Solanum lycopersicum: one gene and its partners. The protein of the gene in region 2 interacts with the protein of the main gene of each other region in a pairwise test. Links are inferred from orthologs where the notes say so. Each region holds a gene or a part of one and is shown on either strand. Other genes may lie near its edges. The genes, in order: scarecrow-like protein 23, transcription factor BEE 1-like and transcription factor HEC3.

Region 1 (3,654 bases), on a different chromosome or scaffold from region 2:
ATTAAGTTGTTAATTTTGACTAGTTTGCTAATTTTTCCAAAAATAATTATTTCATTCTCAATTTATGTGACATTTTCAGATTTCAAGATTTGAATAAGTCTAGCTTTTAATGTTTTGAATTATTATTTATTATGACTTATAATAATTATTCTGTAGTTTATAAATATATAAATTCATTTTTAAAAATTTGAAAATTTATACGTAAAATTTTGATTAAATTTAAACTATTTGACTATCAAAAAATAAAAAGTTTCGCATAAATTGAAAAAATGTTTTTGCTCTCAATCTCTCCAACAGAGTGAACTACACACTCTATAGCATTTAGAGAGTGAATAACTCCATTTTAAAATAGCCTAGAAGGTAATGTAACTCCGTGACATATGAGTATCCAATTGAAAATCTGACTATAAATTGAAAGATTTTAGAGCATTTTCTCAAAGTTATTTTGGTCGAACTTTTAGTTTTTAGCCATCATAAAATATATCTTTAATTTAAAATATTTTTTAAGGAAATGTAAGGTCTAATAGAGAGGATGTAACAGACAAAATAGAATCTTCCACCACAATTATTTAGTAAAGAAAAGGACAAGAATTCTTTAATCCAATGCAATTACTATTTTTCTTAAAAGAACAAAATTTTCAAGAATGATAAACACAAATACATATGTGTAGGGGCCTCCTCAGAATTAGGACCAGAGTGAACAAAGAGCACTTTCACTTATTAGTATGTCCAATTTGTTATGGTATTTGTAACATCATCCAAAACTTACAAATTGAAACAACAACCAAAAAATGGGCTATCTTAATCGCAAGGTTGCCATGCAGATGCAGTCAACAACGATAAATCCTTCCATCCCAATTTTAAACACCCATTTTCTTCCACCAACGTATACCCTCTCGGAAACATCCCTAATAATAAACTTGCTTGAGCAGCTGGAGTACCCGATAATGAAACGGGTAAAAACCCGATTCGTTTCAATTCATCGCCCCATCTCTCTACGGGTACTTCCCCCGTCCTCTTGGGCCCACCTACCGCTACAATATTCCTAATTTCGCTACCGAACAACTGCTGTTCCACTCTATGCCTCTCTGCACTCTCTTCACTCAATCCATCCCCCAATGCATCAAACAAGGCGGAGTAATAATGCAATGCCTCAACGAATCGGCTCAAAAAGTTTCCTCCGTGACTCAGATCTTGTTCAACCAGTGTGATCAATTTCGGCCTTAACAAAGTTAACAATCGGAAAGTACCTAAATCACTCCCTGTGATATTGTAGAGGCAATGGTGCATCCAATTGACAACGGTAGTTTCCCCAATTTTGACTCCGAGTTGATTCAGGTCTGTGATGTGTCCGATTTTGCCTTCAAAAGGTTGAAACTCGAACGGAAGTCCGAATGAGTTGGCGAATTCGGTGAGTCGACGGCCGGTGGATTCGAGTAATTCCATGGAGGATCCGACGCCGGTGATTCTGATGGAACGGAGCTTTCTCGATCGAGAGGAGAGGATTTGGAACAATCCTGGCCATTGAAGACCTTGCATGATGTCGAGATCGATGACGTGGACGTGATCTTCACCTTCTAATGCTTGGTAGATAGCTTGATTTGCAGTGTAGTGAGAGAATTTGATGAGCGGACTTATTGTGTTGTAAGATTGCAGAGCGGTGAAGAGTTTTTGGGAATGCGTGAGAGTTAGGGATTTGAGGTTAAGCGGAGAATAAAATCGGAGATGAGAACTGATAATTCTGGCCGATAGAGATTCAGCGAAGTAAGCAGCGACTCGCTCAGCTGATGAGCCGAACGGCGAAGAAAGCTCAGCGATTTCCGGCAATAAATCAGCAGCTTCATCGAGATTCTCCATGGCAACAAACTCAGCGCATTGAAGGAGCAAGCCGAGAAGGCGAAGACCTATGGAATCGGCGTCAACGAGAAGTAACTCCTCACCTTCTTCTTCCTCTTCCTCTCCCCTTTCATTTCGGGGCCGTTTAGTAAGAAGTTGAGGTTCATCTGAGACCGGAGTAAACTCAGAAATTGAGCGCTTAGAAGACATGGAAGATGAATACGAAGATGTATGATTAATTGGAATTGCAGATACGAAAAGCATGATCATTCATCACATCACATGGCAAAGAATGTAGAATAAAAAAATGAGTGGTGAGGATAATTGAAAGGGGGATTTGTGAAAAAAAAGGGTGATGACTTTTTGGAATTATTCATCTTTTGTAGGACACATTGAAGTGAGGTTTTTGTATTTTTGTGTTTGAATTTTTCCTCAATCATAAAAATACTATACTCCTATTAATAATACTAGTACTACCATTATTATAATCCCTCATTCATCGTTATAAATATATTCACATCTCTTCCAAGGGAAAAAACATAGTTTCCTTGGAAATAAATGTTCTCCCTCTTGATTATTAGGTGTTTTAAATAAATTTACTTTTTTTTTTGGGTTAATTTTAGAGTAATATTTAACCTTAATATAGGAAATTCAAGAAACAAAAAAATGTTAGCGAATCGGTTTATATTTACTCAAAAACATAGAAGAATTCATAATAGAATTTCGAGTGAAGCAATTTTATCAAATTTAAAGGAGGCATCACATATTTGAAAACTAGTTGTACAATCAGTCAATTTCAAACAACTTTTTTTTTTCATCAACTATTTGAAATTTATGATGACGAATGCTTTAGGTTATCAAATTTATATCAATTTATACTGAATTGTCCCCAAATAACATTTTTTAAACAAATCAGAGCTAATTCAAATTGCTCAATTGTAAAAGATCTGCTACCGAATGAATAAAATAGTGAATTAGAGATGGACTGAGTAACTTAAGTTTGAACCGTGCTAAGCTACTTCTAAATTCATTTTTTTATTTTATGTTAAGGGATTTATGTTTTTGATATATAAAAAACAATTTTAGTTTATTTTCTAATATATTTTTCTCATAAAGGAATTCAATTGAATTATGACCTTTAGGATCATATAACTCTGCCACAATGTGGACAAGTCATGAACCCCACATGATGAATAATAATCTCCTGTATTTTTTATTTTTTGAATTATGAATTTACAAACATATTAAGAAAACATTAATTTAGATAGTGAATTCATCTTACCCATATTAATAGATAAAATCTCAAATATATTATCCACTACACTTTTCAAAAATATTAAGTCTATGTAAACAAGTAAAATTATCTTTTTATTTTTTTAAAAAAAAAGATACTAAATTAGAAAATATTTAATAAATAAATCGTAAGAATGAAGTGTAAAGTTGCTGAAAATTTTGTAAAGAAATGCTTGTAGTAGCTTGTCACGTCTGTTTCGATACTCCATTTTGCAAACAAATATAATACAGTAGTTATCATGTTACTCCAAGTAGCTTCAATGCCCCACGTTGCTTTGTCACTATTATTTTACCCAAAGGGAAAAAGTATGGCAAGCTTGATCTAGTACAATATCTTGGGATTCTCGAAGATTTGTTTGGGAAAATATTGGGGAATCCAGAGAGTATCTTGGATAGACAAAAAATAAATAATTTATGAATTAAAGATATTAGCATATATTAGTGATATATATTAGCACATAAAACAAAAGTTACATAAAATTACAAAAAATAAGTTTAGGGGTAATAGGATCTTAGTTTAGTTAA
Region 2 (4,113 bases):
AAGTTGTGTCGGCCATTTGGCCAAGTTGTTAAGAATTTCTTGTATAAATAGAGGGTTCTCCCTCATAATAAAATCATCCCTGGTCCTTTTTCCTTGACAACTCTCTCTCTCACTCTTAAATTCCGCTTCCACCCAAAATTGGTATCAGAGCTAGTTCACAAAAAATAAAATATGAAAAATCCAGAGATGACAAATCTTATTTTGAAGAAGCTATTGAGCAAGAAATTTGACATGAAAGATTTGAAGCTGCAAAGAAAATCCTTGAAATGAAAATTTCAAAAGAAGACGGTATATTACATCTTTCTCCAAAGAGGTACATTGAAAAAAGGTTCTTAAGAGATTCACTATGCATATATGAACAAGCCCATAAGTATATTATTAACTTCTGATCATTTCAAGCTTTCATAGTTACCAATGTCTTAGTCTGTGAATGGGGTGGAGCACATATCAAAAGTTCCTTGTGCTAGCGCAATTGGGAGCATTACGTATGCTATGGTATGCCCAAGTCTAGATATTTTTCAATCTAGAAGTGTGGTAAGCAAGTACATGACAAACACACGAAAAAAGTATTGAAAAGTTGTCAAGTACATATTGAGATATCTCACAAGAGCTTTTGATATTGGCTTGATCTTTCAAAAAAGTGAAAGTATTTTGGCTCTCAGTTATGTAAATTCTAACTATGCAGGGAATCTTGATAGAAGGAGGTTCACAATTGAATACATCTTTACTCTTTTTGGCATTGTCGTTAATTAAAAATCGATTTTACGGTCGATAGTCACTTTATCTACAATAGAGGCATAATATATGACAGTGATAGAGGAAGTTAAAGAAGTTGTTTGGTTGAAAGGTTTGGTGGCAAAATTGAATTTGGTTCAGCTGGAATCAACTCTAAAAGGTGATAGTCAAAGCACTATTTATTTGATTGAAAATTAAAAATTTCATGAGCGCACCAAAAACTATAAGGTTAAATAACATTTTGATAAATTTGACATAACTATAGGATCACAAAAACAAATAATTTTTTTTTATTATCTTAAACTTTATGCCAAATTAAAATAAATTATTTTTTTTTAAAACAAATGAAATATGATAATTTAGCTCATTTAAAGCCAACTTCTACTGCAGGGTCCCATGAAATTGTGTACATATCCTGAATATGGTCCATATGGGGACAGAATCCCAAACCTCCAATTGGCTGGATCCCTCAAAATGCTTCACTACTGCATTCTTAATTTTTTTTTTTTTTAAAAAAAAACAAATTTGAAAAAACTCACATTTTGCCCATGCTCTATAAATATATTTGACAGACACTACTTCTCTTAACATAAAAAAAACATACAATTAACATCAACATATATTATTTTTTATAATATACAAGAAGTTGTCATGGCTCATCATTATTTCAATCCAGATATGCAAATCATTATTCCACCATCCTCTGTATTTAACACTGACACAAATTTGAATTTTCATAACCAATTTCCAGAACAAAATTACTTGAATACCATTTCACTGGAAATGTCTAATTTCAATTTTCATAAGCACTCTGATGAACATATTTTGAACCAAACCTCTGACTTCCCTGTATATTTAACAGAAAATTTCCAACAAGATATGTTCAACCTTCCAGTACCAACTAGAAATGATATAAATGAAAGCAAGAAAAGGAAAACAATTGAAACCCCAGAAAGTAGCTCTGCTTACTCATCCCCTGCAGTTTCTTCGAGAAGAAAAACCGTAAGTTAATCTTCAACTCTTTCTATTTTCTATGTAGTAAGGGATTGGTTCGCTACTCGTTAGGAGGTGAATTATTCATGCATTAGAGTCGGTATCAAACTTGTACCATGTTTGGTAGCATTTTAGTTGCTATAGAGTGTTTGGTTATAACATGTGTAAAATCCTGAGCACTTAATCCGTTTCATTTTACTTGATCTTATATCAAAAATAAATATTTTATTTTACTTGTACTTTGAGCAAATCAAGATAGCTTTATTATTAAATAACTACATAAAATAATAGTAATCAAATTTAGAGTTTCAAAACATTATTAATAAGTTTAATTTTTAAAATACATTTTTAATTAAAGATTTCTATCAGGTCAATATGAGTCAAGTAATATGAAACACATGAAGTATAACTTATGAAAAAAATTTATCTACTATGTTCTATAGAGCAGAAGATAGAATAATTAATACATTAACCAGCAACAAACCAAACAAATAAACAAAAGGATTCAAGAATTCTTATGTACTATTATAGTATCTTATTTTATAGAGTATAATTTAGTTAAATTCTCTTTGAACCATGTAACTTTTCCACACTTAATATGTACATATTTTTGACATTACAATTTACAGGGCAAAGGAAGAGGAAAGAGAGTAAAAAGGGATGAAAATGAAGAAGAGAAACTAAGGCAAGTAGTGCATGTAAGAGCCAAGAGAGGCCAAGCAACTGATAGTCACAGTTTAGCAGAAAGGGTAATTTCCTCTCCCTTTTAGTATATCCTGTTTTTTCACATATGTACTAAAAATTGACTAATGTATTTCTTTTTTTGTAATTTAGGTTAGAAGAGGAAAAATTAATGAAAGACTTAGGTGTTTACAAGATATTGTTCCAGGATGCTACAAGGTAATGTTTCTTTTTACATTACAATGTCAAATTGAAGTTTAGGATGTGGTGTTGTGGATGTGGCTACTCCTACCTTAACAAGATGTCTCGGATTTGAGTCTATTTTTGGTAGGGAGAACTTCCTCCTAATGGAGCCCTACACGGTATGAATCCAGATATAGTCGGGCTCCAATCAAGGGCGTAGCTACCCTATAGTGAAGGCGTCCAATTAGATACCCTTCGCCGGAAAATAATACCGTATTTATAAGTAATATGATACACGAAGTGATTAAATGACAAATTTTGGACACCCTTGAAAAAATAAGGTATTTTAGCCCAGTGATTTTAGATGCCTTTAAAGAGCCCTAAATGCTCACGTGTTTGAATCTCACTAACAACATTTTTTCTCCTTTTTTTTTGACACTCTTCGTGAAGTTCCTGGCTCCACCACTAGGTCCAATGGGAGTACCTAACACTAAAAAAAACATTGAGTTTAACATAATAACATTCAAATTTCAATCTAATTTCAGTCTATGGGCATGGCAGTAATGCTGGATGAAATAATTAACTATGTGCAATCTTTACAAAATCAAGTTGAGGTGAGTTTAAATGATCCAACACAACTTGTTTTCTGATTGACCAAAACACACACACAAAATGACTTGTTGTATTTGTTGGATTTAGTTCCTCTCAATGAAGCTATCTGCAGCTAGCACATATTATGACTTCAATTCAGAGACAGACATTTTGGAGACAATGCAGGTACTCCAAATTTACATAGTTTTAATTTCGATTTTGTTAGATCATACTTGTGTAGAGATTAACTTGTAATTTATCTTATAAGTGATTTGATTGTATAGATCGATATTTTTCGACTTGCAGAGAGCAAAGGCATATGAAGCAAACATGATGCAGAAGCTAAAGAAAGAAGGATGTGAAGGGATGGGTTCTAATCAAGTTGGCCCTTTAATTGACCGCACTTTTGGCTGCTATCCCAAGTTGTCTTACAACACCTAAAGATTCATTCAACTATTTTTCCTTTTCTGTTCAGTAGTATTATACATTTGTAATTTTTGTACACATGAAAAATTGGACACATATCCATGTATCAAGTCTCATAATACAACCAAACAGACATTTTTTTAAGCCTAATTTTACTCAAGCATCGTTTTGAGTAATTTATGCATTGCAGGATTTTTTTTCATCATTCATAATTATGACATTATTATTACATTATCCCCGCATAAATACTAGTGATACACTTGACCTTTTCCAAAGCTTTTTCTTCCAAATTTTTAAAGACAAACAAGGTTAAATTGAAAAATAATAAAAATTATTATTTTCTAAAAGCAAAACCGAATGCAATGTATATTATCTTAACATGTATATTCCGTTTTTAGTGAATAAATCAAATCTACTAACAAAGTACATTGACTAAATAATTTTGTCATAATTTATTTAATCTTGAACTAATGTAGTTTGCAACCCAATCTTCTTGGGAAAGAG
Region 3 (3,193 bases), on a different chromosome or scaffold from region 2:
AATCTTTCATAAAATATAATTTTCTTTACACTTTTGGTGTGTAATATATAAATTAAACTCAATATACATATACATAATACAAATTGTACAAACATGCGCACACGAGCACAAACAAGTGCGTGAGATTATACCAGCAAGAGTAGTTGTGGAGTAGTAAGTACTCCTTTATCTTTAATCAGAGGTCTCGAGTTCAAGTCCTTCTGAATACAGAGTCACCTTTATTAGGAAACACTAAATCCTAATATGAAATTTTCCAACGCTAATCTAAATTTAACCAGACCCCCAGATACCAAATTGAAAATCGAAAAAATAAATAAATGTGTGTGAGGTGGGCCAAAGAGTATAATCATATTCAATTTCTTCTCACGTCACTGTTTTATTCCCGGGAGAGAATTCAGCCAAACGAACTTTTTGATGATCAGAAAAAATAAATAGATAAAAACCATATTCTATAATTATTAATATACTAGTATATACCAACATACGTAACTCAACTCTAACCGTTGTGATGATTATCATGCCCTTTAAGTCAACACAATCCTAACAAACCTATTTTTTTTAGTTCACAATTCACATGATCCACTATACACAAATAATTAATTATTCCTCTATATATAATATTTTTATTCTTAAAAATTCCAATTACTACACAATAATAATAATAATAATAATAATAATAATAATAATATGACCTAACTAATTACCAATTACCTCATAAGGTGGATCCAATGTAGTGTTACCAACAAAAGTTGTAACATTATTGGTTGTAGTACTACTAGAGGAGCCAAGAATCAGACCTTTTGTACTTGGTGTGACAATATTATTTGCCCAATTTTCATTATTAGGGCATGACGATACTGGTATCTGTGCTGGTGGGAGGTTATGATTCGATGATTGTAATTGACGGATTTGTCTTTTTAAGAACTTAACATAGCGAATTGCTTCGTCTAACATGGATGCAGTGTCCATTTTTGTTCCACCAGGGACTAATCTTTGCAAGATTCTGATTTTTTCACTTATCCTTTCGCGGCGTAGCCTGGCTGCTACGCTTTGTGGATCATTGCTTATACGTACGTTACGCCTTTTAGGTTTTCGTATAGTGGATGGATCAATGTCTACTGGTTGCATAGATGCAATTTTGAACATCATTTCTTTCATGGCTCCTAGCTCTTCTTCTTCCTCTTCATCTTCGTCTTGATCATCGTGTTCTTGATCCTCTATTAGGGTTTGAACATGGTTGTTTAACACATGATCAAAAGGGACAACTACTACTTCTTCTTGTTGTTGTTGTTGTTGTTGGGTTGAGGAGGAGGGAAGGTGATGGTGTTGAGGGTTTTGAAGAGGAAAACTAGGCCAAATAGGGTTATGTTCGAAATGAAATTGTTGTTGATGATGATGATGTTCGTGGTAGATATGGTCGTTTGGTATACTGGACAAGCATGGTTGTTGTTGTTGTTGTTGATCGCGAAAGACTTGTTGGTTGTCCATATTGGACATGGTTGGATCCCAAGTGGAGGTAGTGAGTTTATTAATGTGGTTGATATCCATGGTAAGAAGAGTATAAAGGGTGAATATATCAAGAAAGAAGAAGAAGAAGAATATCTATTGTGTTTTTTTTGTGTCATTATGAAAATATTTTTCTCATATTTATTGAAACCCTTTAACCAAAAATTGTAATTAAAAAGAAAAAGAAAAAAAAGAGGGGTGCAAAAAGGGAGGTGACTTATTGCAAAGTTGAATCAAAGCTCATGAATATGTACTTTGTGTGAAGCCTTTGAAGGCTAAATAGTACATCTTCGTAGGGTAGTGAAAAGGTGTAAGTTATATACATTATGACATACACAATTCGTACATATATATTTACATGTATATATGTCAATATATAGAGGGACAAATGGAAGAAGGGGGTGGGGGTGTTACAAACTTTATTGAGTCTCTAATAAAAGTAAAATGCGGAGCCGAGATTTAGAATTTGTTAAGTTGAGATTGTAGTAATCATTTTTAAGTTACTAGTCTAACAACAACAACAACATGCTCAGTCGTTTGAGTTGTTGATCTAACAACAACTATTATAAAATTGTAAAAATAAATATATGATATGAATCAAAGTATCGTAAACTATACTCCAGCTCCGAGCTAAAATAATAATTATTGTGGGAGGGGGACCACAAGATCAAGTTATTTTCAAAAATAAATAGATAAACAAAAAGAAGTTTCTATTTTTGTGAGGGTTGTGGGTTGGGGGGGAGTGTGTTTCAAAGGCCATAAATGTCCTACTTTTGCTATATTGGTATACAAGTGCATTTAGTAGAGACTTGTTGCCTTTGCTTCATCCCTAGAATTTATCTATTTGTTTTGCTTAATTTGCTAGCCATCAAAATCAATTGATAAATTCTTCATGACTTGGGTGTGATCTAGAGGTTAATACCGCATGAAAATATTAGAAAATAATTTCAGATTTTTATTGATTTTTATAGGATTCCTATTGAATTGAGACTCGTGTCATTATATAGGAAGTATTCAGATTTGTATTTATCATTTTTTTCTGGAAAGATTTATTATTCTTTGTTGTTCCTAATTGTTAAATTATGATTTCATTCTTTTGTATGATTATTTCAAATCATTATAATTATACTTATATGCAATATACTATATAGTCACACAATTATTTTCTATTAGTTTGTGATATTTGTGAGTTGGTGAAATCATGAGATAGAATACACGTAGATTTTTGTTAATTTTATGTAGATACTTCTCAAATGAGAATCGTTCCATTTTTGTATTTACATCTATGACGATCTATCATATTAATCTTCAATGTCAATTCTATATATATATTATCCCTACTAATATGTTATGCTATAATATTTATTCTCATTGATTACTACATCAAATCTCTTTAATTATAAACTCATATACATTATCATATAGTCACATAAATATATACAATTTTTCTATATGCGAATCATTCATCATGCGAACATTTCCCTCAAATTAACATTGGTGGATCTAGAATCATCAATTTGCCTACTAGAAACTGATAATGTGTTGACCCGTGAATTTTACAAGTACAACAACTATTTGAAGATCTTCGAAAATGTGCGAAAGAGCAATAAATATTTTATCTATAGTTTTTCTTATATAATGACAATCTACTTAGTAGTAATCTGAATAACAATTGTACTTCATAAAG

The links.
Region 1: the proteins of transcription factor BEE 1-like (region 2) and scarecrow-like protein 23 interact in binary tests that used the Arabidopsis thaliana proteins (3 or more experiments, as listed by UniProt). The link is inferred for Solanum lycopersicum from reciprocal best matches to the Arabidopsis thaliana genes BEE1 and AT5G41920.
Region 3: the proteins of transcription factor BEE 1-like (region 2) and transcription factor HEC3 interact in binary tests that used the Arabidopsis thaliana proteins (3 or more experiments, as listed by UniProt). The link is inferred for Solanum lycopersicum from reciprocal best matches to the Arabidopsis thaliana genes BEE1 and HEC3.

The regions. Positions count from the first base shown.
Region 1 is NC_090806.1:59,132,777-59,136,430, forward strand, and holds scarecrow-like protein 23, read right to left. Parts: upstream 2,399-3,654; 5' UTR 2,107-2,398; coding exon 802-2,106; 3' UTR 592-801; downstream 1-591. UniProt on the Arabidopsis thaliana protein: Probable transcription factor involved in plant development.
Region 2 is NC_090811.1:47,740,981-47,745,093, forward strand, and holds transcription factor BEE 1-like, read left to right. Parts: upstream 1-1,174; 5' UTR 1,175-1,386; coding exon 1,387-1,737; intron 1,738-2,357; coding exon 2,358-2,477; intron 2,478-2,562; coding exon 2,563-2,628; intron 2,629-3,137; coding exon 3,138-3,206; intron 3,207-3,291; coding exon 3,292-3,369; intron 3,370-3,489; coding exon 3,490-3,624; 3' UTR 3,625-3,759; downstream 3,760-4,113. UniProt on the Arabidopsis thaliana protein: Positive regulator of brassinosteroid signaling.
Region 3 is NC_090810.1:1,211,107-1,214,299, reverse strand, and holds transcription factor HEC3, read right to left. Parts: upstream 1,683-3,193; 5' UTR 1,549-1,682; coding exon 697-1,548; 3' UTR 586-696; downstream 1-585. UniProt on the Arabidopsis thaliana protein: Required for the female reproductive tract development and fertility.